Linked DNA regions of Rhinolophus ferrumequinum. The main gene of each other region encodes a partner of the protein of the gene in region 2 in a complex. Links are inferred from orthologs where the notes say so. Each region holds a gene or a part of one and is shown on either strand. Other genes may lie near its edges.

Evidence for each region.
Region 1: ACTB (region 2) and SMARCD1 share a complex: the UniProt entries of both Homo sapiens proteins name them as parts of the BAF complex. The link is inferred for Rhinolophus ferrumequinum from reciprocal best matches to the Homo sapiens genes ACTB and SMARCD1.
Region 3: the proteins of ACTB (region 2) and SETD3 are in contact, whole or in part, in a crystal structure (PDB 6ICT), measured with the Homo sapiens proteins. The link is inferred for Rhinolophus ferrumequinum from reciprocal best matches to the Homo sapiens genes ACTB and SETD3. Residues at the interface, in NP_001092.1 of Homo sapiens: Leu67, Lys68, Tyr69, Pro70, Ile71, Glu72, His73, Gly74, Ile75, Val76, Thr77, Asn78, Trp79, Asp80, Asp81, Met82, Lys84; in NP_115609.2 of Homo sapiens: Cys36, Ser37, Ile148, Ala151, Met152, Asn154, Ile155, Asn212, Arg215, Gln216, Val248, Val251, Met252, Thr253, Arg254, Gln255, Asn256, Gln257, Ile258, Pro259, Leu268, Ile271, Trp274, Asp275, Cys277, Ile284, Thr285, Thr286, Gly287, Tyr288.
Region 4: ACTB (region 2) and SMARCC2 share a complex: the UniProt entries of both Homo sapiens proteins name them as parts of the BAF complex. The link is inferred for Rhinolophus ferrumequinum from reciprocal best matches to the Homo sapiens genes ACTB and SMARCC2.

Annotation. Positions count from the first base shown.
Region 1 is NC_046293.1:50,883,438-50,890,676, reverse strand, and holds the start of SMARCD1 (SWI/SNF-related matrix-associated actin-dependent regulator of chromatin subfamily D member 1), read right to left. Parts: upstream 3,020-7,239; 5' UTR 2,572-3,019; coding exon 2,395-2,571; intron 1,715-2,394; coding exon 1,527-1,714; intron 1,240-1,526; coding exon 1,197-1,239; intron 1,103-1,196; coding exon 980-1,102; intron 498-979; coding exon 375-497; intron 1-374. Other genes in the region: ASIC1 (acid-sensing ion channel 1), read right to left, coding at 5,509-5,613, 5,747-5,851, 5,927-6,006, 6,487-6,578, 6,992-7,145. UniProt on the Homo sapiens protein: Involved in transcriptional activation and repression of select genes by chromatin remodeling (alteration of DNA-nucleosome topology).
Region 2 is NC_046307.1:41,580,548-41,587,604, forward strand, and holds the start of ACTB (actin, cytoplasmic 1), read left to right. Parts: upstream 1-4,042; 5' UTR 4,043-4,063; coding exon of another isoform or gene 4,064-4,206; intron 4,207-4,457; coding exon of another isoform or gene 4,458-4,848; exon of another isoform or gene 4,849-4,860; intron 4,861-4,866; 5' UTR 4,867-4,872; coding exon 4,873-4,995; intron 4,996-5,139; coding exon 5,140-5,379; intron 5,380-5,816; coding exon 5,817-6,255; intron 6,256-6,340; coding exon 6,341-6,522; intron 6,523-6,700; coding exon 6,701-6,844; 3' UTR 6,845-7,057. Other genes in the region: translation initiation factor IF-2-like, read right to left, coding at 4,064-4,206, 4,458-4,848. UniProt on the Homo sapiens protein: Actin is a highly conserved protein that polymerizes to produce filaments that form cross-linked networks in the cytoplasm of cells.
Region 3 is NC_046289.1:4,747,608-4,754,697, forward strand, and holds the start of SETD3 (actin-histidine N-methyltransferase), read left to right. Parts: upstream 1-4,085; 5' UTR 4,086-4,239; intron 4,240-7,090. UniProt on the Homo sapiens protein: Protein-histidine N-methyltransferase that specifically mediates 3-methylhistidine (tele-methylhistidine) methylation of actin at 'His-73'. Histidine methylation of actin is required for smooth muscle contraction of the laboring uterus during delivery.
Region 4 is NC_046293.1:55,536,437-55,543,874, forward strand, and holds the start of SMARCC2 (SWI/SNF complex subunit SMARCC2), read right to left. Parts: upstream 3,017-7,438; 5' UTR 2,943-3,016; coding exon 2,832-2,942; intron 784-2,831; coding exon 664-783; intron 106-663; coding exon 20-105; intron 1-19. UniProt on the Homo sapiens protein: Involved in transcriptional activation and repression of select genes by chromatin remodeling (alteration of DNA-nucleosome topology).

The DNA.
Region 1 (7,239 bases), on a different chromosome or scaffold from region 2:
AACGCTAAGTGCAAACTCACTTGATTTAAAACACACACATTCATATTCATTTTAATTCATTCATTCTCTCTCTTTCTCTCAGAATAATCTGCACATACTGCTAAATTTAACGGCCAGTAGCATCAGGAGGAAGGTAAACAACAAATCAAATCCCAGGACAATATGGTTCTCAATGTGATACCACAATGAGGGCCAAGTTGTGGGAACCAACACAAAGAACCATTGTCTTTTAGCACAGGGCATACAGTGACCCTTTCCTTGCAGTTCCCAACAGGAGCTGTGAGCACCAGTCAGGCTTCCTGCCAACCACACAACACTGTTTGTCCCCAGCAGCTCCCACCCTAGACGCCGACCACAGTGGACCTTGAACTCACATCCTCCAGGAGCCGTCCTTCTACCCGAAGCTCCCAGGAAGCCACCGTCCCTTCCCCATCCTCGGCATCTGACTTAGCCGGATTGAAAGTGTTAGAAATGAAAATTCGCAGCTTCCGTTTTTGCTGAGGAAGGCAGAAACAGGATTGATGGTGGGGCTTCAACGGTTTGATGTTGAAGACAGGGTCTCCCCAAGCCCCAAAATTACTCCTAACAGACTGGCTCACTGTCTACCCAGTCCCTGGGGTGGGTGGATGAAGATTCCATCTAGAAGAGGAATACAGGCCATTGGTCTGAGTGCAAGAGCATACACTGAGATGCCAGGTGGACAAAGTCAAGCAAGGTGCCAGGTTCCCAAGGTGGTAGAGCAGTTATAGCAAAAACACGGACAGGGTAAATTTCTGGTGCAAGCGATATCAAAAGCCCCTCCCCCTTTGCTATTTTGTTCTTATACTTCTAATATAATTCTCAGTTCGTAGGCGGAAGGGAAAGATGTAATTTAAATGCCAAGGAGAACTGTGCTGTGCCTTTGATTGCTCATCCTAAGCCTACTGAACGTTCCCAAGTCCTCTCCTTTGGCTCTCTGCCTAGTGCGCTCCGGCGTTACCTTGATGGGTCGTTTCAAGGCCTCCTGGATATCGAGCCGTTTCCTCATAATAGTCTGGTCCAGTTTCCTTTCAAAAGCCAAGAGATCCATATAGGCCTGGGATTCTGGTACCAGTTCACGAATCTTAGGAACAGAAAGATATCATGGGGATATAGAGCTGGCCATCTCTATTCTCAAACTCACCACACCCTCAGGAAGACCTACAGCTTGGACTCACCCTTTGAGGTAGAATTTTGTCAGCCATCTTCTTTTTCTTTGCACTGTTTCAAAACAAATACTGTTATCAGGTTGGGATGGAACTAGCCAGAACATGAAGACAGGCTGTCAGCACCTCCATTTATAGTAAAGTGAAAGGACTGTAAAGCTTCTCTCAAATCAAAGACATACCCCCAAACCCCCAACCAACATGAGGCATTCTCAAGAATAAGCACCATCGGCTGACACAGCACCACTACTTCTTGGTTCAGATACTCCCACCACCTGAGTTCTCACAGGCTCCCTCCCTCCCTTCCTTCTCTCCTTCCCCTCCTCCCTGGGGTCATCTTACTTGTGGTTTCGATTTTGGACCGCCTGCTGCTGGACCTGCTGGATCTGCTGAGGCGCAGGTCTCTTGCGGGACTGGTCCATCCCTGACTGGGCCAGGCCAGGTCGGACTGAAGGGTTCCCCCCGTAGCCAGGGGGTCCCATGGAAGGTCCCTGAGGTGTCATTCGGCTGCCTGGCAGCATACCTGGTCTCTACAGAGGGGAGAGGACCCAGAGATGTCATGGCTTCCCCTACGAAACCCACCAAGAAAGAAAAAGTGGGGGGATTCTTCAGGTCTTTGAATGAAACAAGGCTGGGGGAGGGGGAGAGGGGCAGTGGAGCACAATGGGAGAAGAGCCCTCTGCCTCTTTGAATTACAGATAACTGGAGCTTCCTCTGCTCCAGTCATGATTCTGTAAGAGAATACAGCCCAAAAGCTAAGAGCCAGATTATACTCAAATTCTCCCTAATCTATTTTGTATCTGACACATTGCACATCTCCTCTATCTCCTCTAGTTCCACATTTACTCAGTACTACCTGGTACTATTTCCTTGAAAGCTGACCTCAATTTGCCAGCTACCTTGTGTGTGTTCCTCTGGGCACTGGAGCTGCCCAAGCCCTTTTGCATTCCAGCCCTCATCAGCCCACCCTCCGCCCCACTTCGTCCTCCATAGTTCTATACCCTGACTCCCCACGGAAACAATGCCCCTAGGAGCAGGTGGGGATGCTAACTGCCTCCCTTCCTTCCTCCTCACTGACTCCCCCACCCCCATTCAGGGCCCGAATCCCTCTCCGGGGAGTCCCTCCTACTCCTCCCCCCACCGCTGTCACTCCCAGGGCCCCGCTCGGCCCCGCCCCCGGCCCGCGCGCCCCTCCTCCCGCCCCACTCACCGGATAGGCCGCTCCGGGCATCGGGGAGCGGTACAGCCCTTGACCCGGCGCCGGGCCCATTCGCACGGGAGGCCCCGGAGTCCCGCCCGGGCCCAAGGCAGCCGCCGCTCCCGCCCCTCCTGAGGCTCCGGCGCCGCCGCTCGGAGCCACAGACTGGAAACCCGCCCGGGCCGCCATCTTCCCCGGAGCCGCTGCTGCAGCTGCACAAAGAACCGGAACCGGAACTCCCCCCGCCCACCTCGGGCCCCCCACGAGCCCGCTAGTCCTCCCGGCCGGCCGGCCGGCACGGGAGACTCAGGGCAGCGAGACTGTGGGCTAGAGGGGGGCGACTAGCGGAAAAGGGTGCTGACCACTCCCTCCCGCCTTCACGGTCCGGGAAGGCAAAACCATAGAGACGAGCTCTGGGATAGAGAGGCCCTGTGAGCGGGCGCCCCCAGGCCGACGGGAGGAACACAGGCCCTGGAAAGGGGTGCCACCGCCACAGACCCAACGTCCTGATGAAGAGGGTGGTGGAATAACTGCTTCATCTTGCGTAGTGCGATCAATTTTCCAAAGCGCTTTGTTTTTCGTTTCCTTCTCTTACTGCTATAAGCCAGGAAGACTGAAGAAAACGTACTGTTTAATCCATTTTACAAATGGGAAAGCTGAACTGAGTAAGTATATGACTTGGCAAAGGTCAACCAACAAGTGAACAGTAAAGTCAAAGCCTAGAATCCAGATCTTCAGGCTCGTAGCCTGGGGCTCATTCCACAGATAAAGTGCCTCAGTAACTAACCTCACGCTAGAACTTCAACCCAACTTTGTCCCTGACTTTTAACCGAACCTGCTTCCAGATTTTAAGTTTATTTTGAATTTTGCCCCTGCCCTCACTCCAAAGAACCCTTTGAGCTAGGACTTCTCTTTGGGATATTTGTTGCCTTTGACCCCTCCCTCTTTCACTGTCCAGTGGTTCAAACCATTCGTGGTGTGATGTCCAGCCTGTCCCATCCCAGGACGACCAGGGTCTCCCTGCTCAAGCCTTACTCCTCCTGTGAATGTTTGGCTCCAAGCCAAGCTCAGCTCTAGGCTCTTAATGGGAACGCCTAAATACTATTCAAATAAGAGAAGAAGGACACTGAAAAGGAGATGGTTGAAATCCAGTTTATTAGACCAGAGGCATGCGTCACCCATAGCCCTGCCTGCTGTTTTCCATCCGGTGCACACCCCTTGGCCTTGCTCTTGCTTTCCTCTGGAGAGGTCTGCTCTCTAAAGAACTCCTAGGAACTAAGAGTTCCCAAAGATCCTAGAGCCTCACTCTCCAGCTCCAGGCCTGCACAGGTGACCTGCCACAGGTCCAGTTCTGGGGTGAGAGACCAAGAAACAGCTGGGCAGAGAAAGCCTGGGAAGGAACAGGGCTCTGGCCTGGGAGAACTGCCTGGTGGAGGGGGCGTGGCAGGCCCTCTATCTCACTCCTTTCTGTTTAAGTTAGGGAGGGACAGAACAGCAGAGCTTTCAACTTCCCCTCTAGGACTGTGTCTTTCCTCCCACTACCAAACCATACCTCACCAAAAAATGTAAGTGATGGGCTTGGGTATCCAGTTAGGAAAGGGGCTGGGCACCCAGGAGGGAAAGGCCACTGACTGAGGACCTCAGCGTCTGCCTGTCAGCGCTTGCTGTTCTACCTGAAGGGGTCACTGGTCCACAGCTCCCTGTGTTTCTGGTACCCCTGGCTTAGTGTGCAGAGCAGGTCTCCATTCCTTGGGTGGGGGCTCTCTCGGTAGCAATCCCTTCCCCCGAGAGGCCACAGTCAGCCACACAAAGGACTTTGGGGTGGATAGAGCAAGAAAGGGGATGTTAAGGCTGCAGGGGGGGCAGAGGGTACCCAGGTTGTGGGGAGAGGGTGAGGCCAGAAAGAGGCAGAGCTTGTGATTCACAGCTTCCTTTATGTCGCCACCGAGACAGTGCGAAGGTTACAATGCGCGTGTCGTCTCCTTGTGCTTCTCAGAGGGATGTGTGTACACAGTACAGACACCAGGGGAGAGAGTCCAACTCTTTATACAGGCGAAGGCATTCATAAACCAGGGAGGGAGCAGAAACACAGGAAGGGTGGAGTGGGAGGATGGTTCTTAGAGACAAGAGGGCATGGAGTAGAGACGGACAGTTAGGGGAAAGTATATACAGAGATATAGCAATATAGAGTCTGTATCATATAGAAATAGAAAATGCAGATGAGGTTGTGGAGAGAAGCAAATGAAGTTGGGGAAGAGGACTTGAGACAGTTCCATAAGAAAATTTATGGATGTGGCCCTCTGCAGGGGCCCCGGGGAGAGGGACCAGTGAGATTAGGCACCAGCGCCCCTCTCCCTGAGCTGGAAGCCAACCAGCTGGATCTTTTAGGGGATGGTAGAGGAGAGATGCCTCTTGGGATTTCTCTCCAGCAGCTCTGGGGTGGTAGATATCAGGATGTGGCCTACAGCACCAGGGCCACACACTGTCCCCATCTCCACTGCTTCAGGGGATCCCCACCCCCACCACCCTAGTGACTTCACATGGTGTGTGTGTGGGGGGGTAGGTACTAGGGTCTTAGTTCCTGCCTGGAGACTTGGGGTTGGGGGGGTAGTCACTGGGCTGAGAGGGTCTCTTAAGGCTGGGGAAGCCCCCCCCACCACCACTATCCCTCCCCTTCATGGTACATTCTCTGGTTTGGGGTCAAATTCCAGACCCAGAGGATCCCCTCCACCCCCCACTGGGAGGGGGCTTTGGTGACTGGTGGCAGCAGAATGTAGGTGGACACTCAGATGACAGACAGCCAGACAGACAGAATTCAGGCTGGGAGCTGAGGGAGGCAGCATAGAGCAGAGAGGGGCAGCCTGAGGTCACTTGCCCAGTTCTCTTTTCAGTTTCTTTTTCAGATTAGTTTTGTTAAAAATAAAAAGAAAGGGATAGAGACAGGGAGAGGACTCTATGGTCAAGCCTCCTTCCTCACCACACACAGGAGGAAAGGACTGCCCAGGAGCGGGGGGGCTGCCTTGGGAAGGAGAGTGGGTCCCCAGGGCAGATGTGGGGGGCAGTTGAGGGCCCCCTTGCTCTCCTTGCCCTCCCCATCTAGGCCTTTGGTACAGTGGCCTGCAGGGCTCAGCAGGTAAAGTCCTCAAAAGTGCCTCGGCCCGGATGGTGAGGTAGGATGTTGGCAGCATACGTCATCCCCGCAGGATGGCCCCGGAGGCTCTCACACGGGTTCTGGGGGAATGGCACAGGACAGGAACTGGTTATGGAAAGGGCCGCAGGTGGCGCTGGGGCACGGGGGAGGGGTGGTCCTGGGGTGGTGGGGTAAGGGGCGGGTCCGGAGGGCACCCCTCACTGGCTCCCTCACGTGTCTTTTGACGTCATCCAGGCTGAGGGCCACGCCCTTGTCCGCGCTGCTCCTTTTGGCCTCCTTCTGGCACTTCCCTCGTCTGCACAGCTTGTGCTTAATGACCTGGGACACGGTGGGGTGGTGGGTGGGTGTGTGGGCAGCCTGGATCCCCGCCCCTTTGGTCCCGCCCCTGCTCACCTCGTAAGCGTAATCAAAGAGCTCCAGCACTGTGAGAATGCTGGCCCCGATGAACAGGCCCATCTGGCCCCCAATGTCACCTGTGTGGAGGGGGCACAGGGAGGTCAGTGGGGTCAAGACACCATGGGAGCTCACTGAAACGGGCAGGCAAGTCATAATTGCAAAATGATCGACAGCTTTTTTATAGAAGGAGTGCAAAGATTCTGAGAGGGGGTTTTATTTTCTTTATGCTTTTCTGCATCTTTTTCTACTTTTCTAAAATGAATAGGTACTATTCAGGAAAAAAATAATTGTTTATAAAATACCCAACACTCTTAATCTCTGGGCAAAATTTAAAGGGCATATGAAATAGTCCCCTGTTCATGCCCACAGGCCTATCTTTTCCACTTTGCCCTAAAAGAAGGCTCAGCCCCTTCCCCCCACCACATAGCAAGACAGCAGAATTTGGGGAAAAGCCCCTGGGGATGGCTGGGGACAGACGTGATCAGCCTGCTTTGGGTGGTAGGGTGTCACACCATGCCCATGACATGGGAAGGGAACAGGTGCCATCAGCAGCTCACCCAGGAGCCCTGCAATCTCATAGGCCTTCTTCTGCTCGATGGTCTCATAGTTGAGGACTTCAAAGAAAATGTCCAGCACCAGGATGTTCTCCCTGCAAAGGGGTTGGGGAAGGAGACCTAGGTTCAAGTCACATCTCTGTCCCTTGCTAGCTAGGTGACCTTGGTAAATTATCCTCTCTGAATCTCTGTCTTCAGATCCATCACATGAGATGCTGATGGGGGTACCTGCCTTCTAGGGTTGTTGTGAAGATTAAATGTGATGGCGGATATGAAAAGATGCTGTGCACACGGGTAAGTGTGAGGTGATCCCAGTTACAGCAAGGAGGATGAAGACAGAGCATGAGGTGAGGAGGAAGAAGAGGCGCATTCCCTGCTTGTTCTGCCTGGGTCTTTCCTCCACGCCCACTTCAGACCCAACTTCCTCCTGTCTGCCAGACCTCATCAAAGCCCACTCACCCTTCGCGGGCCCAGCCCAAGGGCCCTGCCTTGCAGGCAGAGCACTTACCCTATGTACTGCTCAGACTTGTTGAACTTCTTGGCCAGGTACTTGGCTGAGGCTTTGCTGGGGATCTTGACCATGGACAGCTCCTTGCCATAGCGGGTCAGATTGCAGGGCATTTCACACACACAGTACTCCTGGTCCTTCTCCACCAGGAAGTCTGCGCCCAGCCAGGTGACAGGCGCTAGTTGAGTGGTGCCCTTCTGCCAGGCCCCTCTCAGCACCACAGCCTGGCCTTGCCCACAGTAACCCTG
Region 2 (7,057 bases):
CATCAGGGAGCAGGGAAGGCCCAGGGCAGGCTGGGCCTGAGGGCCCTGGGAGGGGCTCTGGCTAAAGGCCAGGCCTGGGTGGGGACCAGGCCCCTGGCTGCTGCCCAGAAGAGCACACAGGGCCCAGCCCCTCCCTTCTGCCTCTGAGCCTCACTTCAGGGGCTGATCACCTCGGGCTGGTCACCTCGTGGGGGGACCTTCCCTGACTGCCCTTTAAGGAGCTCCCTCCTTCCTAAGGAAACCTGCTGCTTTCCTTCATAGGCCATCAGACTTTGTTCTCTGCTCTCTTGTTTGAGGTGTGTCTCAGGGATCACACCTGCTTTATTCAGGGTGTTACTCAAAACTGTTCGGTGCTGTTGTGTTCTGGAAGCATGCCTGGCTGGTTGGTGCTGGTGCGTAGGATGCAGGAGCAATGTGATCCAGGAGGTTTGGCTCTTGGCTGTGCCCTTGCTGTGTGATCCTGGCTGGGTTGCCTCCCCTCTCTGAGCAGGAAAGCTACAGCTGTTATGGTAGAGGATGGAGGAAGTCATGGCAGGCTTCCTGGAGAGGGCAGCCTGAGAGCTAGCCTTGAAAGCTGAGGTCAAGTTAGGCAGCAGGCAGAGGAATGGCAAGCCCAGTCCCTCCCAGAACCTCAGGAATCCTGAGGTCCAAAATCTCCTCTTGAGACCATCCTGGGAGCAGAGGAGGAAGCAAGGGAAAGAAGTGGCAGAAAAGAACAGGCTTGGAGCCTCAGGACCCATTTCATTACTGACTAAGGGCTGGTGGTTGTTCTCTCTGGGCCTCAGGAGATAAGAGCTGGCTGGGGTGGGAGGAATTTAGACTTTGGAGCAGCCTTTGGACCCAGTCCCTGGGGGCACTTCAGGGGACACTTTACCCAGGGAGGGGCAGTGTGAGGCCTGGTAGGGGGTGGGGGACTGGGCCTAGAGTCCTTCACACTGGACTCTGGGCCTGGGTGTCTCACCAGTCCTGCCTCAGTTTCCTCATCTGTAAAAAGAGTGTGTTTGCTGGAAATGTTTCATCCCTTCATTCAGTTACCCTTCACTGAGCACCTACTGTGTGTGTGTGGGTCTTTCTTCCACCTCTCAGCCCCACCTCAGTTTCTTCCTCTGAAAAATGGAGCTGGGGGTCCCCACCTGGTGGGGCGGCAAAGGGGCTCCAACACTCAGGGCAAGGGGACTGTTTTCCGGAAGAGGGTGAGGGAGTGGGCCTTTGGAATGGACTGTAAATGTCCCCTGGCCTGGAGGCCTTTGCAGGGTGGGGGAACCACAAAGAGAAAAAAATCACCAGAAAGGCAGGTGAAGTCCCCATTGGCTGAGCTAGTGTGGGCTGTGTGCCTGCCCCAGTGACAGCTCTGAAACTCCCTGCAAGGGCAAAGTTCCCAAGCGAAGAACCTGTTCACTTCCTCTCCCGCTGGTCTCCTCCCCCTTCCTCTGGCCTACTCCACTTCCTCTTTTCCTCCTCCCGCTTGCCTTTTCTCTGCAGCTCCTCCCCTCCTCCAAGGCTTGTGGCCCAGTGCCCACCGCCAAATACCCTCCATCTGCCTAGGGTCTTTTGTAAGGGCTGAGGAAGGACACCCAGGCACTCACTCATTCAACAAAGCAGAGCCCTGGGGTGGGTATAGTGGATGTGATGGCGACTCCGGAAGGGTTTGCTGAGGATGGACCCCCAGCTCTATTTTTCAGAGGAAGGAACTGAGGTGGGGCTGAGAAGGGAAAGAAACCGCACACACAGTAGGTGCTCAGTGAGGGGTAACTGAAAGGGGATGAAACATTCCAGCAGAGTCTGGTGGGGTAGGCTGAGTTCTAGATGCTGCCCCAGTGCAGTTGCTTTAAGTGGGGGGAGGGTGCATGTTGCAGATGCTAAAGGGCTCCCACTGAGGAGGGACCTTCTAGGCTGGGCCTTGAAGGATGCATAGGAGAGCACCAGGAAACGGCTGCTACAGATGGCCGGGATTGTCCCAGTCTCAGGTCAGGTGTCCCAGTCTTGGCCAGCCCTTGGTTTAGAAGAGGTGAGGTGGCAGCACAAGTCCTGCTTGGGGACCAGGTCTGCTCTCCACCTCGTGTCGCTTCCTGGAGCCATCCCAGAGTCTCCCATCCCATGCCCTGCAGCCCTGGTCCCAGCCTACCCAGCACCCCTCCAGGCTCAGCGAACAGCCAGAAGTAGCCTCATCAACAGGCAGCAGAAAGGGTCACCCCCTAGTCCCTGAATCACAGGGTTGGCAGGTCCCAAGGTGGCTGGCCAGATGCCCGTGACTGAGAGACACAGGCCAGGGACAGAGCAGTCTGGTCCTTGGGAAGCCGGGAGTGGACAGGCTAGGAATGTCCACCCAGGGCGGGGATGGTGACTGGGGAGCTGCAGCGAGTTTCTTGGCAGTTATCTGGGAATGCTAGCATGTGGCTCTGAGCCTGTGGGCTCTGCTGTGCACTAGGTGACGGTCACCCTTCCCACCTGGTTGTGGCCTCCACAACCTTCAGAGACCTGCCACCAGCCTCCTAGGCAGTGGGCTGGACCAAGCCACCTCTTCCCTGGACACACATTCCACTCCCATATATGGACTAATTGGTCACTGGTTACAACACTCTCTCAGTGAGCACCTATTATGTGCTGCAAAGCCCTGGGCAGGCCTGGCTGGAGACAGACCAGTGGTGACAGGTCAGTGCCCCCACCTAAACCACCTTTCCCATTCTCATTCCTGTGACAATGCAGCTTCTTGTCACCACCTCTGAGAAGGTGCATGCTCCTCTAGGCAGAGCCACACAGATGTCCCTCTGGGGTCCCACAGCCCCTGGGCTTCTGTCTGCCATACCCTGAGCACTGTTGGCCACCCTCTGGATACAGGCTCTGCCTGCCTAACTGGCAGCTCTCAAAGCAGGGAACCACCCAGAACAGGACACCCAAGTTTTGCCTAGTATCTGGAATGTCTCAGGGCAATAAAGAGTGACAAGGAGAGGGTCTCCTCTGAAGGCAGCTGCTCTTCAGCCACTGTCCCTTATGCCACGCCCCCCCAACCCTAACTCATCTCTGGCTCATTGAGTGCCTTTCCCCAGGCTTCGGGGACCTCCAGATGGTCCAGGAGGGCAGTTCAGCTGTGGCTACACATGACAGAGGATGGATGGGCTCTAGAGCTGTGCTGAGCAGTCCTGCCTGCCTACCAGTGCCCACCAGTGTCTGGCAGCTGCCCTGGACACCGGCCTAACCTCCCAGGCCTGGCCTTGTCTGGGTGTGACCAGGCAGCCCTGAGAGGTAGCCTGGCTCCATGGGAACAAGTTTCTGTGCTCTATAGAACCCACCTCTTCCCAGGCCGGCAGCAGGGAAGCCTTGGAGGCCTTTTTACAGGCAACTAACTTCCAGCCACTGGCTCCTGGGGGCCTGCCCTGTCCCTGGGGACTGTGGCCCTGAGGCCCTTGTTAAGTAGCTACAAGCCCCCTGACTCCCCCAGGCCGTATCATATTTCGCAGCTCCAGGTCTCTGAGTAGAAACGATCCCCATTTAGCAAGGTGAGCACCCCGGGCCAGAGGTACCCTAACCCAGGCTTTCTGGGTAGTTGAGCCAATGTTGGGAAGAGTGGATGGTGACTCCCTAACCACCCCTCCCCCACAACTGCTCCTTAAGCATGCGTCCACAGCAACCAGGGACCCTCGCATCTATGTTGACTCTTGTGCCCACGGGGGAGCGGGGAGCTCACGGCACATGTGACATCCACACCCGGAGGGTCCCGAGGTGGGGGACACGGAGAGACCGGCAGGCCGAGTCCAGGCCTGGCTACGCCTGGCCGGACTAAGCACTGCCCAGCGGGGCGGTGGCCCACGGCTTGCACCTTTCATCCGCGGGCCCAGCTCCTAAGAGCGGCCAACGCCAAAACTCTCTCCCTCCTCCTCTTCCTCAATCTCGCTCTCGCTCCCAGTCCATCTCTCTCTTTTTTTTTTTTTTTGCAAAAGGAGGGGAGAGGGGGTGAAAAAATGCTGCACTGTGCGGCGAGGCCGGTGAGTGAGCGGCGCGGGGCCAATCAGCGCTCGCCGTTCCGAAAGTTGCCTTTTATGGCTCGAGCGGCCGCGGCGCCGCCCTATAAAACCCGGCGGCGCGACGCGCAGCCACTGCCGAGTCCGCGTCCACCCGCCAACACAGGCCTCTCGCCTTCGCCGCTCCGCCGCCGCTGCCAGTCTACACAACCTCCAGGTAAGGCCCCAAGCCGGCAGGGCGAACTGACTGGCGCCGGGCCCCGGCCTCCCCCGGGTACACAGCGCCTCTCGCCTCGGCCCCGAGGGCAGCACTTGAGCTTGGGGAGTGGGGCTCGTGAGCCTCCCAGGTCGGGGCCGGGCTGCGCCCGGGCCGTGCGCCCAGGGTGCTACCGTCGGGGCCGCGGGCCTTCGTCGGAACGGACAATTAGCTCCATTGGGCCACCGGCTGCTAGGGTGGGTGGGTGGGTGGGCGCGGCGGGACCGCGGGCCGGGTGGGGGCTGGGGCCACCACTGATCCTGCGCGTGCGCTTTCGGGCTGGCCGCCGCGGTCGGCCGGAAGGGGTGGGTCGCCGCGGCGCCAAGGCGCATGCGCACATTTCTTGGCCGCGCCGTCGGCTCCCGCGGGTGTGGCCTCCGCGCGCCTGGTCGGCGGCGCTTTTTGAACGGGGCAGGGGCGGGGCCGGCGGCTGGGGAGGGGCTGGAGGCCTGGCTTCGTGCCGCGCGCCGCGGGGCCGTCTCTAACCAGCGTTTGCCTTTTATGGTAATAACGCGGCCGCCCCGGCTTCCTTTGTCCCCAATCTCGGCGCGCGCCGGCGCCCTCTGGCGGCTCGAAGGCGCGTTTTGCCGGAAGTGGGCAGGGCGGGGGCCGCCCCACCCGACGCGGGCTCATGGTCCCCTTTCCTCGCAGCTCGCCATGGATGACGATATCGCTGCGCTCGTGGTCGACAATGGCTCCGGCATGTGCAAGGCCGGCTTCGCGGGCGACGATGCCCCCCGGGCTGTCTTCCCCTCCATCGTGGGGCGCCCCCGGCACCAGGTAGGACGCCAGCCTCGGGTCTGACTTGGGAGGTGGGGTCTCTGAACGGGCGGAAGATGAAGTCGGCTCCTCCGCAGGGGAGGCCTTGGGCTTTCTGCGTTGGGTCGTGCCCATGCTGAGGGCGCCTTGCTCCTCCCTCCGCAGGGTGTGATGGTGGGCATGGGCCAGAAGGACTCCTACGTGGGCGACGAGGCCCAGAGTAAGAGAGGCATCCTGACCCTGAAGTATCCCATCGAGCACGGTATCGTCACCAACTGGGACGATATGGAGAAGATCTGGCATCACACCTTTTACAATGAGCTGCGTGTGGCTCCTGAGGAGCACCCTGTGCTGTTGACTGAGGCTCCCCTGAACCCCAAGGCCAACCGTGAGAAGATGACCCAGGTCAGTGCTCTACTGGCCTTCCTCGGGAAGCCACTCCTTCTTTTCTGGCCCTTCTGTGCCACGCCTTTTCTCACTTGTTCTTTCTTCTGCCATTCTCCTAGGATTTTCTTCTCTGACCTGAGTCTCCTTTGGAACTCTGCAGGTTCTATTTGCTTTTTTCCAGATGGAATCTTTTTCGTGTTTGGTTTTCTGACTAGGTGTTTAAAGTATAAAGTGCTGTGGGTGTAGGTACTAACACTGGCTCATGTGGCAAACCCAATGAGGATGGTGTGAAGTGGCCTGGGAGTGTGTATTCAGTAGGTGCACAGTAGATCTGAAAATCCCCATCTTGGGGTCCCCAGCACACTTAGCGGCGTTCCTTGCACTCTGCATGTTCCCAGTTTGGCCTGGCTGTCTGATGGCTTCCTGAGAGTGAAGTGGCCCATCTTTCCCTACAGATCATGTTCGAGACCTTCAACACTCCAGCCATGTACGTGGCCATCCAGGCTGTGCTGTCCCTGTACGCCTCTGGCCGCACCACTGGCATTGTGATGGACTCCGGTGATGGGGTCACCCACACTGTGCCCATCTACGAGGGGTACGCCCTCCCCCACGCCATCCTGCGTCTGGACCTGGCTGGCCGGGACCTGACGGACTACCTCATGAAGATCCTCACAGAGCGTGGCTACAGCTTCACCACCACAGCTGAGCGGGAAATTGTGCGTGACATCAAGGAGAAGCTCTGCTATGTCGCCCTGGACTTCGAGCAGGAGATGGCCACTGCGGCCTCCAGCTCTTCTCTGGAGAAGAGCTACGAGTTGCCTGACGGCCAGGTCATCACCATTGGCAATGAGCGGTTCCGCTGCCCCGAGGCGCTTTTCCAGCCTTCCTTCCTGGGTGAGTAAGGCTTTGACCTTGCCACCACACAATGGTCACCCTTGTGGCCACACTGGAAGCTAAGTCTGGCCTCTGTTCCCCTCAGGCATGGAATCCTGTGGCATCCATGAAACTACCTTCAACTCCATCATGAAGTGTGATGTCGACATCCGCAAGGACCTCTATGCCAACACAGTGTTGTCTGGTGGGACCACCATGTACCCAGGTATCGCCGATAGAATGCAGAAGGAGATCACCGCTCTGGCTCCCAGCACGATGAAGATTAAGGTGAGTGTCCGCGCAGCCTGTGCTGGCCTGGTCACATGGAGTGTTAGAGAGTTCCCATGCTGACTTTACTGTAGGATGCAGCCACCTGTGGTTGTCAAGGCAACCTTTCTGGGGTAACGCACAGCCCTTGGGGCTGTTCCATCAAGGTCCTTATGCTAACTGTCCTGTTCTCTCCCAGATCATTGCGCCCCCTGAGCGCAAGTACTCGGTGTGGATCGGTGGCTCTATCCTGGCCTCGCTGTCCACCTTCCAGCAGATGTGGATCAGCAAGCAGGAATACGACGAGTCCGGCCCCTCCATCGTCCACCGCAAATGCTTCTAGGCGGACTGTTACTTAGTTGGTTACACCCTTTCTTGACAACCTAACTTGCGCAGAAAACGAGATGAGATTGGCATGGCTTTATTTGTTTTTCTTTGTTTTGTTTTTTTGATTTTTTTTTTTTTTTTTTTTTTTTTTTGGCGCTTGACTCAGGATTTAAAAACTGGAACGGTGAAGGTGACAGCAGTCGGTTGGAGCGAGCATCCCCAAAGTTCT
Region 3 (7,090 bases), on a different chromosome or scaffold from region 2:
GTTTACAAAGCAGGCCTATGGCACTGCTGAGTATCAATAACTGGTGTTCACATTAATTGTTGTATTAATTTTATATTGACTTCCATCTGTTCTATTCATCTATTATCTGTTATGTTCATCCCCTAGATCTGGTACATAGATGGCCCAGAATAATGAATGAATGAATGAACTCTACCTTTCAACAACTCTCTGTCGCTCCTTGAAAATACCTTTCCCTTGTCTACTAATTGCCTTTCAAATATATAAAGACAATTTTTACATTCCCTTCTCTTCTCCAGGGCAAACAAACATCCCATTTCTACAACATGGTTTTTTAGTGTTTCAAGATCCCCCCTAAATATAGCAACCAAAATGGAAAACAATACTCTTTATGTCATCTGCATAGTACGGAGGGGAAGGGAGAAGGGAGACAGCGTGCCACTGATGGCCCACTGAGTCGCAGCATGCCTGCAGGCTATGTTTTCTTATCCTCACAATTTATCGCTGAGAAAATAGAGCTATGGAGACAAGAAACAACTTGCCTAATTCACACTGCTAGCACATGGCAAAGCCACAATTTGTCATTAGACTAAGATACTGCCTTCCCTCAATCTGGACCCTACTTTGTTTCTATAAACGGAACATTACATCCTAGAACCATTTTTTGTCAAGTTAGGTCTTTCTCATGTCAAACAAGGACAACAACGTTTTTGTAAATTTAATCATTCTTGGTAAATTTGTATCTTATCTGGGCCTCCTATTTCAGTCTGTAAGAACTCGTTGAATCCTGAGTGTCATCTAACATGCTGGCTATCTTTGAGAAGCATGCCTCTTACATATTTAAAGTTGGTAATAAAAAAAAAAATGCTGACCAGAGTAAGAGCAAGACTAGAGCCCTGGAGCCTATCTCTAAAGACCTCTCTTCATTCAGGCTGACATCAAGTCATTAATCAACATTTTGGGTTTGGTAGTCTGAATGGATATAAATCCATCCAATTAGACCTCATCCAGTGTACGTGTATCTGTGTCTGCTGGGATAGGAAGAGAGATTATGTTCAATGCCCGAAGGAAACCTGACTGAACTCAGCGCCCACCCACTATCAACCTAGTACATTTATAACAAAAGGAAACATGGTTTGTGTCACCCAGCTTTTTTTGGACTGGAGCTCTGCTGGTTTGAGGGAATCAGCTCTCCTTTCCCAAATACGCACAAATGCTCTTTTTGCTCCCCCAACAAGATTCTAAAATGGATTAATAACAGGTTCTAGCATCCAGCAGTCATCTAATTGCTCTGCAAAAACTGAGACATTGACCAGACTCCAGTCTTCTATCATTCACTATGCTTTTAGGATTCCTCTAAAGCTATAAACAATGATTTTACAATCTTATCTGCAAGTTCTCTGGCATATAATTTATCTGAGCCTAAATATACAAATGAGATTTAATCCAATTAAATGTTCTTAACAATCTCCACAATTACCCTGAACTTAAGTCTTCTTCATTTGTTTGTCCTTACCCAGTTTTGGAGAAAACAAACAAAACATTTTTTTACCTTCTAGATACTCAGTGAACTCACTGCTTTCCAACATAACCTGCAGAAATGAACTACAGTCCCACGCTACTTAAGGATGGGAATATGCTTTGAGAAATATGTCGTTAGATGATTTCGTTGTTGTGCGAACATCACAGAGTGCACTTATACAGTCCGAGGTTGTATAGCCTACTGCACACCTAGGCTATATGGTATAGACTACTGTACCTGTGCTACAAGCCTGTACAGCAAGCTACGGTACAAAATGAGATGAAATCAAGCACAAGAGAAAAGATGCAATCAAGATATGGGATGCAATGGAGAAAATGATGGAACCAAGAGACGCAGTAAACATGATGTATGGCGTAACAAGCATACTGTTTTACAGCAAACTTTTTTTAGCAGTGTACACTCTAAAATAGCAATAAAAAGTACAGTTTAGTAAGCACATAAACCAGTAACAGTCATTTATTATCAAGTATCATGTACTATACTGTACAGAATTGTATTTGCTATACTTTCATACAACGGGCAGCACAGGTTTACACCAGCATCACCACAAGGCCATAATGCCTTGTGCTACCACATTACGATAGCTACGATGTCACTAGTGATAAGAATTTTTCAGTTCCACTATATATGGGACCACTTGTACACTAGGTCCATCCTTGACCGAAACGTCGTTATGTGGGTCAAATGGTAGCATGACTGTAGCTCATTTCGTAGGCCAAAAATATGATCAATTTTTTTCTTTATGATGTTCAATTTTTACAAATGGCATTTACAGTTTAAGGATCTCCTTAGCAATTAGAATGTTTCTTTATTCCTTGTTGGTGCAAACTATGTTTTCAAAATGAAACAAATATTAAACATGCTTTATGCGTGAATCAAGCAATGTTTGAAAAAAATGAATACATTCACAATGAGACAAAAAACACCCCCTAAAATTAGACACCTCTGATAGTCACATTGGAAAATAAACAAAACACAATCCTGGAAAATTATTACATTTATAGTCAAGATTATTTAACAAGAAAGCATCTGAAGAACAAAATCGATCAGTCTACCAATACCACTACTATAATCACCCATTCTTCATTCAGCTCTAGGTGCTGGGGATACAAAAGGCACTTCACGGAGCTTTCATTCTAGCAATACCATTCACATAAACCTTTAATGAGTGCCTACAACTGCAAGGCACTGTGCTAAGTATCTCTAAGGAGCCTTAGAGCTTACCTTAAAAACATAAAAGGCCACCCGCAAGCTAACTGCTCTCAGAAGTTTCTAACGTCAGACGATTTCGCGAAAGCTCCATTTAACTGGCAATCCAAATTTAGGAAGCGTTACCGACCATGCTTTGTGCTGGTAATAGCTGAAGAGCCTTCAGAGAACTTCGATACTAACGCCTCAACTTTCTGAAGAACAATTCCTTTAGTAACAAAGCGAACCAACCCAGAAGAGGGCCGGTAAGAACGATGTCTCGGTAAAAACGAATCTAATCGCGGAAGTGCCTTTTCCTCATTCCTAGTCCCACCCTTGTTACATGGCTCTTCAGACGCCAAAGCCGGAGTACGCCAGATGTGGAACAATACCCAAAGTCTCAGGTCTAACCAAGGTTGGGACCGAGACACTGCAAAGTAGTTGGGAAGATGTGGGTAGGCAGCGGTTGTGCGGCAGAATGTGCGCGCGCGTTAAGACCCCTGCCCCTTCTCACCACCTGCTACAAAGTCCCCGAACTCTAGCCGTCCCTCTCTGAGAGAGCCGCTACCTGTTCCTAGGGTACGCGCCGGACTCCTTCCTCCGCTCTTGCGCCTCAAACCCTCTCCCGAAGCCCGTCCCGCAGTCCCGCCATCGCCCGCTAACTTCGATCTACACCGGGGGTAGCCGAGGGAGGCGGAATCCAGGAAGAGAGACTCCGCCAGCGGATGGAGACAGTTGGCCAAGCCCTACTCCGACCTCCAGGTACGCGGCGGGGGCGGTGGGCGGCGCTACCAGTGGTCCGTGGGTCACTCACCCTCGCCTCAGGCAAGCCCCTTAGCTACGTCTCTCCTTGCCGACTGCGGCCATCTTGGACGTGGGATGTCGGGGAACTACGTCATCGCGCTGCGTCGGCGACGGAAAACACGCGACGGGAGTCGCCTGTGAACCAATCAGAAGAAAGTAGAGCTCTCAAAGGAGGAAAGAACAGCCAGTCTCCTTTCAGCCCCTCCCCTCAGGAGGAGGAGCCTGACAGAGGACCCCTCCCATAGTTCCCGCCTCCGGGGCAAAGGAAATTCGGGAGCAACCGAACCTGCTAACGGAACTTGGACGCGAGAGGTGGGGCCCGGGGCTGCCCACTCTCCAATCAGCGCCCGGGCGTGGCGTAGCCCCACCAATTGTAGCCCCTGAGCTGGCGGGGGCCGAGCCGGCCGCTCGGGCCCAGGAGCCCTCTGGCCCAATGGCCGGGGAGGAGCCCGAGCTCAACGGTAGGGGGGCGGTGGGGCGGGGCCGTGCCCATGCCTATGAGCCGGAGGCCAATGGGCGGCGGCGGCGGCGGCGGCCCGGGGGCGGGGCCCGGGGGCGGGCGGAGCCGGGTTGGGCCGCGGCGGCGGGCCGTCTCAGGCCGCGGTCCCGCCCCTCCCGTCCGGCCGCAGCCGCCGCCGCTGCTGCCTGGGGCTTGGTTGAAGCAGACGGTGGGTCTGGCCCGGAGTGTGGTGCCGCTGCGGCTGCGCGAAGGGACCAGCGGGCAGGTGAGTGCTGGCGGTGGCCCCTCCGCGCGCGCGGCCCGCGGGCCAGATTCGCGCCGTCGTTCCCGAGCGCTGAGAGGCTGCCCCCAGCCCTGGCCGGCATCCCTCGGCCGAGGTCCGGCCCGCGCTCCGCTGGCCGCTGCGGGCCTGGGGTGTGCTAGGCGGTGGCGCCCTGGGGCCCGGAGGGGAGGGCGGGGTATGGGCGACCCGGTGGGGTCGGAGGGTGCCGCTTGGCCTTTGCCCTCCGGCCCTGCCGGGACGGGGGCGCACTCGCCGCTGCCCCGCGTGTTCTTCTGGAGCCCAACGCTCCGGTCCCCGCTCCGCCCGCCGCCCAAGGTGGTGGCAGGTGCAGGGAGCGCCGGGCCCCTCGTCGTCCACCGGGTGGGGCCCGGGCCCCTTTCCCTGGCGCTCGTAGGCTCGGCTCAGCGTGCGGCCGGCTCGCGCTCTCGCTTCCTTCCTTCTTCCCGTCGTCACCCCGCTGCTTGGGTGAAGGCTGTGTGTGGCTTTATGTTCCTCTCTCCAAATCTCAGGTGCCCGCCGGGGTGCCCCGGGGTGCCCGAGGACTAGCCCCTGCTTCTCTCACTTTCCAGTTATGAAAACAGTCGTTGAAAATAGGTCATCTTTCTTCCCACGCGCCCTGGCCATCTTCCACACGCTTCGTGCCCTACTAGGGAGAAGAATTCAGTGCTTTGGAGTTTGTCATTCCGGCATTAAACTCTTTCTCCTCGTGGCTCCAGCCTGGCGACGCAGCTCTGCCTCTCCGACTGCCACTTGGGGAAAAGGAGAGGATTACTGTCGGGCGCCACTTGCTGCGGGGGGCCTCACGCCCGCGGTGTGTTGACACATTTAGGATCACTTGAAGGGTATTTTGCTTTTCCAAATGAAGACGGTGATGTTTCAAAAGCAAAAATAAATTTATAAAGTATATGGACAGTTTAATTTTGCTTTTACTAGGAGCCTTGGAAGAGTTAACCTTTTGACAATGGACCTGACAGTAGTTTGGTTATGGTGGTGGTTACCCAGCTATACACCTGTGTCAAAACTTAGACCTGGACCCTGAAAAGTGTGAATTTTGTCGTATGTAAATGATACTTCTCCCTACCCCATTTTTATTCTTAAAAAAATGACCCCATTGGTATTTCAAAACTGACCTAACCATCAACCTCTAAGAGGTTTTCCTTACTATTTTAAGGGAATGCATTTACCTCAAGAATATAGCAAAATAATCACACTTTCCTCACCACGGTTAAAACTTGGCAAGACTTGCTTGAACCATGGTGTATTGTGTCTATAGAGGCTACGGTGCCTGCAAGTCCTGCCTTACCAAATGAGTCCCAGGGGCTGCTGTGATTGATATTTTGGTAAAGTTCCAGCAATTTAAGGAGTTTTTCTCTGGCCCAAGAAAGTAGTTTGTAACGCCAAATTCTCAAACAGCTGCAGAACAACCTCTTTATTGGGACCCCGAATAATCTTGGCTTTAGCCTTCTGCTACCCCTTCCTGTCTGCTCTCCTTTCTCTCTGTGTATTCAACTTTGTGAGTTAATATCTGAAATGAAACTCCAGTCTCAACCAGTAAAACGGTTGCTGCTTCTCACCTCCAGCATGCTAACATCTCTCAGTGCTTTTTTTCCTGGAATACGAATGATGTTGGAGTTGATAATTAAAACTTTTATGCCCGCATGTGCGGTAGGAATGAAAGTTTCTGTTCAATTCTGTCAATAGGGGTGCAGTAAGATTGTCAATAAGAAAGGAACACTTACTGAGCTTCTCTTCCTTGTGGTGAACATTTAAGCCATGTTTTAAATGATAATTAAACCTTTGCTTTAGAGGCCACTGGAAAATGAGAAAACTAGAGGCCTTTCTGCAGATTTTTTCCATTCTGAAGTTCAACTGTCTTTATTTTGAGAGCTCTGATAACAGGTCACAATGGACTCCTTAAAACTTGATGCTCTCATATTAGAAGAGAAGGACAAAGGAGATGGCAGCCGGAGGAAAGAATCAACATTAGTACAACAGAGGCTTGCTTGTAGTAAATATTTAGTAGGTAATTATTGAATTCAATGAAAACCGGGTACCTAGTTTGTGCTGTGTGGAATTTTGGTGACAGTACGAGTAAAAATCTTACCTCCTAGCTCAGGGTTACTCTACATTGTTTTTAATTCGATGTCAGTTTAGTTTGAGGCTTTCCAAGTCTCTTAAAACGTTTCAATTACATACTCTCCTTTTTTCTTATCACTAATCTGAAGTAGCTTTTAGAAATGTAACTAATAATAGTGTGTCTTTTTTTGTGTGGTTTGATGACTATCTTTCACTGGGAGGGTTTTTATCTTTAGAAACTGGTTTGTCTGCCCCTGGCTACTGTGCATCGTGCTTCTGTTGGGGCGTGGGGAGGAAGAGTTTCAAGTGTGTTTCCTCTCCTTGGACCTAAATCCTGGGAATGGGGCCTCCCCTTTCCCCTGCGGAGGAGCAGTCATTTATTACTATGGCATTAAACATTTTTAACAGAAGAGTGAATATATCTTTATTATGTTATTTTGGAAGTTGCTTGTGGCCGGTTATTTTTTCAATTAGCTAGCATTCTAATTGAGGCCAATGTTTTGATGTCCTGTGTGCAACCTTTTTCTCTTGCTGTAGTCATAGCAGTGTTCATCTTGGCTATCTGTTCGTCCTGAGTCACATTTAGCCAGTTAAGAGGACTAAGGAGTCCTTGCTTTTAAATTTTTCTAGTTTTCACTTCTGTTGCGTTTACAGGTGTACCTTACTTGGCAAAATTGACTTCTGTACATTGGATTTCCTTTTATCATCTCACTTTCCGATTCATAAAGTTGGAGATGTCAATCAAGTGTTTTTATCT
Region 4 (7,438 bases), on a different chromosome or scaffold from region 2:
TAGAGAGAGGGCATCTCACCATCCCTGGTCACTCTTGAATTTGTAGGCAGCTGCAAGTATGTGGCACAGGGAGCCTCCTGCTTTGAAATCTAGGAAACATTTGATCTACAAAATTGAGACAGGGAAGAAGTATATGACAGTTACATCCACAATTCTCTTGTTACTTAACAACCCTTTCACAAACCCCGTGCCATTGTATCATGTGGCCTGGGAGAGGGGAGAGAAGAAACCAATGTTCACAAAGCCACCTTGTGCCAAGCACTTACTGGGTTACCTCACTGACCATTACAGAAACCCTACAAGGTAGGTATACTAATCCCATCTAAAGATGAAGGAACCGAGACCCAAAAGGTTTAACCCAAGATCACAGAGACACCAATTGGCAGAGCCAGGATTTGAACACAAACCTGTGTAAATTCAAATCTCATATCCTTTTAATCATAACACAATAGTTTCATGCACTGACCTGACACTCTGAGATAATCTGTTGTACAAAGTATTACTAAAACAAAGGGAGTGGTAAGTTGGGGACTAGACCAAGGCAGTAATGCGCTGACCAAGGATAGAGATGCTAAAAACTTTACCCAAATATCAAAAAATCATGAAATTTACAAAACACTCCCTCCCCAGTTTGGAGGATTCCCCCCTTGCTTTTGCACTCACCGGCAGTTTGGTTAACGGTGCGTTGCTGACATGTTTGCCAAAAACTTCTTCCTGAAATTGTAGCAACTGTACAACCAGGCTAGACAGAGACTTGTTGGTGGGTGGTTCAGCTTGTATATACTGGGGAAAAGAGAGAAAGAAAAGAAAAATAGACCCCAGAAAAACTGTCCACCATTTCCCTTATTACTTTCCCAGGAGCTCTGGAAGCATCTGGGGCAGAGAAAATTGTATCTTCTTCCCCCACATGTCAAGTTTCTATAACGAAAATGGTAGAAGGGAGGCCCTCTACGCCCCTCACCAGGAAGTTACAATTCTGCTGCCTCCAGCCCAGGCTACCAGTGTTGGGTGCTGGGGACAAGGGGGGGCCTTGGCTACACCCTGAAATTGGAGTTGCAGGACCCTAACTCTCTAGCCAAAAGCACTGAGGGTTGTAAAATCCTGAAGATTCGACAGGCAATGAAAGCAATACCTCTGAGGCTCTAAGCAAGACAATAGTGTATTTCTTGGGGTAACATTGTGGAAGTCCAAGATTCCCCCTATAATGTGGCCTAATAAGAAAGGTGCACGGAAACGAGGTAGGGAAAACAGACTGAGAGAGGGAGCTTGGGCAAACAGAGAGGGAGCTTGTGCATTCCGCTTCTGCTAGGAACAGGGCACAAATGTCTTTGCAGGTCCTCCTAAACGACAAGGACCAGCTACTACTTAGCCTAGTGGGAAAGAGCAAGACAACACCTGTCTTTTCTGAGGAAACCTTATCTGAGACAAGTAACCCTGGGCCTTCTTAAACATTTCCATAGTATGCTACCTAGCATCCTAGCCTTCTAATTAAAAACTGAGCCAGGACGCTAACTTTCTCTTTGCCTTTTGAACCGTTTCCTGAACCCTAATCACAGAGAAGAGTGCTCTTCTCAGTGCAAGGTGTAAAGAGATCCTTGAAGGAAAAGGTAAACGACGAAGCTCAGAGCTTGAAAGCTGAACCAGGTCACAGGCTGTCACTCCCCTAAGGGCCAGAGACTAAGCCCCTAGACTGATCTCCCTTCCAAAAGGTCAAAGGTAGAAGCCTGGGAACCAGAGCCTCAAACTGGGGTGCAGACAAGCCACAGACCCAGCAGCTATTTGTCAGGATCCTGACACCCAGAGAGACCTCTGAGAGCTCATAACCAAGAACAGAGGGGCATTCTCCTAAACCACTCATCACACTTCTGACAGGCTGCAAAGCTGGGCAGGAAGAACTGGGGAGCTGAAGGAAAGCCAGAAACAGAATCCCTCTCAGGGTAGTGAGAAGGAAGTGAGGCAGACCATCTCCAGAGAAAAACCATATGTTTAGATGTTCCTTTCAACAAGGCCTAATGACAAAGACAACACCAGGAAAAGGTTCGGTAAAAAAGATAGGCAAGGCTTCTTGAACTCTTTGTTCACTACCTTATTATCTCCAGTTATGGTGCTGGGGGCTAGAGGTATAAAGAGTGCCCTAGCCTCTGAACCCCCAACCAAGGCAATTCAAGACCAGGTGGAGGGAGACTGCATTGTGCAACTGAGGAATGGTTTAAGAAGGGGTCTCTGCCAAGGAACTCCTATACCCTGGCTCCCAAAGAGGATTTCTTGTCGCTTGGCTGGAGGTGGGGACGAATGGCAGACAGGTGATCTCAGGGTGGGGGCCTTTTTCAGGCAGATGGAGCAGCCAAGGGCCTGCTCTGTGGCTGTTAACCCTCCTGCTTTCATCATCTCTCTCTGAACGTACACAAAGCACCAGGGAGGCCTCAGCCCTGCTGGTACCTGGCTCCGTGAGGGGCTCTGGCGGGCACCGTGGCGGGCACGCTGATTGGGGGGGATCGACACCGGGTCCACCGCTGGCCATCTCTCCCGGAAAAGCCCGGAAGGCGATAGCTCAGGGAAGGGTGGGCTGCTGGCACCGAGACCGGCCGGGGCAGTGAAGAAAAACAAGGGGCAGAGGGCGCAGCATTTCTCCGGAATCCCAGGCCGGAGGGGGGGCCGGTGAGAGGCTGGAGGAGGGGCGCAGGCCGGAGGGCGCGGTGGGGGCTGCTCCCGAGACCGCGGAGGAGGGGCTGCGGGCCGCGGGCCGCCAGAGGGTGGGCAGGATCCCGGGGCGCTGCGGGGCCGCGGTCCCTTTGTCCCGCCCCCGGTCTCTGCGCAGCCTGCCCGCGTACCTTCTTGTAGTTCTTGCCGAGCCAGAGCCGCACGTTGTCGAACTGGGTCACGGTGTCCGCGGCCTCGTAGTACTTCACGTTGGGGCCGCCGTCCTTCTTCCGCACCGCCATCTTCTCGGGCTCGGGCCCCGCCGCCGCCGCCCGCCCCGCTCAGCTCAGCTCCCGCCTCCTCCACCTCCTCCTCCGCCCGCCTCCCGCCGCCTCCCGCCGCCACGGCAGCCGCCTCCCGCCGCCCTGGCCGGCCCCGGCCCGCGCAGCGCCCCCTGCTGGCCGGCAGGGGGCGGCGGCGGCGGAGCGCAGGGCGCAGGACCGACCCTGGCGGCCTCCCCGGCGGCGGCGGCGGAGGGAGCCTTGGCGAGGTGTCTGCTTCCTGGAGGGGGCGCCCACTCTCCTGAGACCGCTCTTGACCTGACGTGGAATCTTCTTCCTTTTTGCCTCTCTGCTCGGGAAGTGGCACCTGTATCTTATCCTAATGGGATGCCCATCGTCTGAGGCATCCCCCACTCCAAGTGGTCGTCACCTTGCACATTCCTAACCCCACGGACCTCCTAATCCCAAGGAATCCCCTTTCCCCAAGATGTTTCGTCCTCGTCCTTCCTTCCAACTCCAGGAGTTCCCAGTTTAAACCCTAAGTTTTCTTCACCTTTAATTCCTTGTCCCAGCACTCCTTTTCACTCCTTAACTCGAGGAGTCCCCTAGCCGCCACCCTCGGGGCCCAGCCCCTTCCCTCCAAGTGCTTCCTCTGCAGGTCTCGCCATCACCTCCTAAATAGCTTTGCACTCCTTGAGACCCGTCTCTTTTCCTTTGAGTGGCGTAGAGAGAGGTAAGGAGCGGGGGCTGGGGGGGTCACAAGATGTTATATATGTATTGGTCTGTGGCTATGGGTATGTGGAAACGGCACGGCTTCCCCGCAATGCCGATTCCTGCTGTAAGTGTGAGGAGAAGAGCGGTTTTGGAAGTCACGGTGGCCGAGTGGTTAAGGCGTTGGACTCGAAATCCAATGGGGTTTCCCCGCACAGGTTCGAATCCTGTTCGTGACGTTAGCTTTTTCCGGGGCTCCGCCGCGCTACCACTTCAGGAAGTATAAAGGGAATCCCTGGTTTTCGCACGTGCCTTTCGTGCACTTTCCTTTCTGTCTGGGAAAGAAAAGCCAGAAGATCTCAAGATTTCACCTTTGGATTTGGGGGGGGGGGGGATGAGGGTGATCACGGAAGCTTAATTATGCACAACCTTATAGGCTGCTAGAATACAAGGCAATTTCAGACTTGTAGCTTTGGCATACATTGTTTCATGCTTTTGGGAGGGAATAGCAAAGGATTTGGTTGAAGAAGGGTTAAGTTTTGTTTGGGTATGTAAATGCCTGTTGTGCTATAAAAGTCAAAACTGGCGTTTCCAGGAAAAGAGGGCACCTCTGGATTTCATGACCAGAAGTCACATCTTGTAGGTCTGATTACAAATGAAGACCCAAGAAACAGGGCATTCTCTCATTTGGATTTCCTCGAGGAGATGCACCTCAGGTACAGAGCTAGGGAGAGTAACCTACTGAAACCAACACTGCAGATCCAGCTGGAGCTAGTGTGGGAAGATAATTATCACTTTTTATTGAGTCCTCATTATGTGTCAGGTAGTTAACCAAGCTAGAGAATTAATCCCTTCTCTAACCTGTCACGCTGCTATACTCACTTCCCGTGGTTCTTCCTACCCACAATTTCTGATTGTGGGGATATCTAGGACACTTGTGGAGGATGTTCTTTTTGTATTTCATTTTTTGTACAGCAGCATCTTCTCCAAAAAGAATCCCCAAAGGACAGGGGGTTCAAGGGTAATTCATAGAGCTTTCTAAACATTTACACTTTGGAATTTCCCGCCTTCATACCATTGCTCACGCTGTTCTTTCCAAGGTCACCCTCACCACTGTCTCCTTCCCCCCCTCCAATCCACAGAATGATCACTTTCCATTTGCACATCCTTTTACCCCTTCTCTTTGAGGCTCTTGATTACTCCAGCTGGAACCTATCAGGCTACCACCACCATCCACTAGATTGCATGCAAGTCATCTCCTTTGACACGCCTCTGCAAAAATTAAAATAAAAACAAATTATGTTCTACCTCTTAAATATGTTCAAGTCTCTCCACTTTTCTCAGGAGTGAGTGCAGACTGGACCACTTGCTGGAGCCTTTATGTGGAAAATAGGGGTCACTGTGAGGACTACAGAAGTTAATATATGCAAAGCTCCACTAAAGCATGCCCGAGACCTTCAACTTTTCCATAGCTGCTTTTGGTGTTTCATGACCTGGTCTCTTTTCTCTCACCACTCTTCCATATTCTCTACATTCCACCCATGGCAATCTTTTAATTCCTACTGTAGTATTTGTTCATGCTGTTCTCTGCCTGCAATAATTTTGCTCATCCTCACCTTCTACTCAGTCTCCACTTAAATGTTGGTTCTCCTGGGAAGCCTTCTCTAACCACCTGTCACTCACCACATCCTACGCCCTAATCTTACTATGTGAAGTCTTTCTTCCCCTGTAGATGTAAATTCTTGGCACATATAACCTCCTCAATAAAAAAATAATTTTGTTGAGTAAATAGATGTTTTTACAGTATTTATATGTACTTGTTTTAATCTTCACTCAGACTGGACTCTAAGCTTCTTGGGAATTAGGACTGTGTGTTTTATTTGTTTGTATCTCCTGTACTAGGTCTTATATAGATGTGATCAAATATGTACTGTAATAGAATCTTACTAGCTCAGTGCTCAGCTTTCTACCATCCAATTTTGCACACGCTCTCAGATTTAAATATCTGGAGAGCCAAGACCAACAAGGACCAGCAGAGGGCAACCGACAACTATGTTGTGAAAGGAAGAAGGCTCCACGGTTTACAAAATGGAGGATCTGAACTGAGAAGGAGAACAGAAACAGACAGAGGTGGTTTGGTATTTGGGAGATACTACCTTTTGCTCTCAAATGCTTCCCTTGTAATTTTAGAGGACTAGAGGCCACGGCGTTGGACTTTCATGAACAGTAGATAATTTCCAATTTTCACTATATCCACAGCCCACCCCAACTCCCCGATTCTTTCATCCTTCCCCTTCCATCCAGACAAATCCTCTTTCTTTGTGTTGCACGATCAGGCCCACCTCTCTCTCACCATTCTTACATATTTATTACGTTCTACCCACTGGTATTCTTCAGTTTCTGATTCAGTATTTGGCCTTGCTCATCTGTCTGCCCTTAAATAACCTTCTTCGTCTAGGCTTGCAATCCCACTCATTTCAACCTCCTAGGGAACCTTCCATAAATAAACCTTCCATAACACATTCAAATTCTACTCCACTGAATCAATCCTTATTTCAGAACAAACAAAACTACACTTTCACTTGACACTTCCAAAAATTTTCTACCTCCTTTCTTGAATGAAATGTATACCCTCTGCCTCCAGCTCCATACTATCTTAATACCCCAAGGTAGAAACCTTTGCTGTTTGAAACCATTGATTTCTTAATGGATTTCAGAGACATTGTATTCATTGTTTTTCTCTTAGAACACCTTCTCCATCTCATTTGCTTTCTCCCTCTTCCTGTGGAATTCTACTAAAACTTCATTCTTTTCCCTCTTCCCAAGAAAAAAATCCCAAGCCACTGTTCCAGGCATGGCCTCCCAGCCAAACCATGGTCCTCTATCTCCAACTGCCTATATGTCTACATAGCTGACCTAATGTCACCTAAAACACAAACAAAACTTCTCTTCCTTTCCCAGAATCGCATTCTCAATCTTTTCCATTTATGCTACTATTCATAATTCCATCTAGTTTCCAACCTTAAGAAATATCTGACATTTTTTCCTCCAGTGGCCTTCTAAGTGCCCCAGTTTCGCCACACTTAAATCTCTAAAAACACTGCTTTCTTCATATTATTCCCATGTCCAGGAACTTCAGCGCCCCATCTGATTAAATACATGCTCCAATTATCAATACACCCTGCCTAAATCACTTTTTTTTTTTTAATCCTTAATTCTTCCCAGTAAGAGACCCCAATCTAATCAGGTGCTAGCTTAATTCCTTCTTTCATGAAGCTGCTTCTGTCTACCTCATAACCAGAGACTAGCTAATCCCACCGTAAACTGATCAAAGCTACAAATTCTCAGATCTTAATCAGAATTGCTTTTATGTAACTAAAAGGCTAATGGGGGAGAAACTAACACGCAAGAATTTAACATAATCCCAAATTGTTGACTTGTTCCAAATGCTAAGAGGCTTGGATCTCTGTAGTTTATCCAGTAAAGCAAATCATTAGAGGACTTGAGCTAAAATGATCTCAACTGACACTTGTTTCAGGAATGCTGTCATTGTACAAAACATTTCTGGAACTCCTTCACAGCTAGTTTATGAGCCACATTTAAATGATTCATTACTTCAAAATTACTTTTTTAAAAAGCTGATGCATTAGCCAAGTTTATCATTTATCTATTTTCCAGATTTTGTTCTAGATTACTCCTGGAATTCTCCCAGGTCTCCTTCTTAGGCTTCTTCCTGTTCTTTCCTTTAATGTTTATATTCCTAGAATTTCTTGATCACCTCTGGGCAGGTAACTCCTAAAGCCACA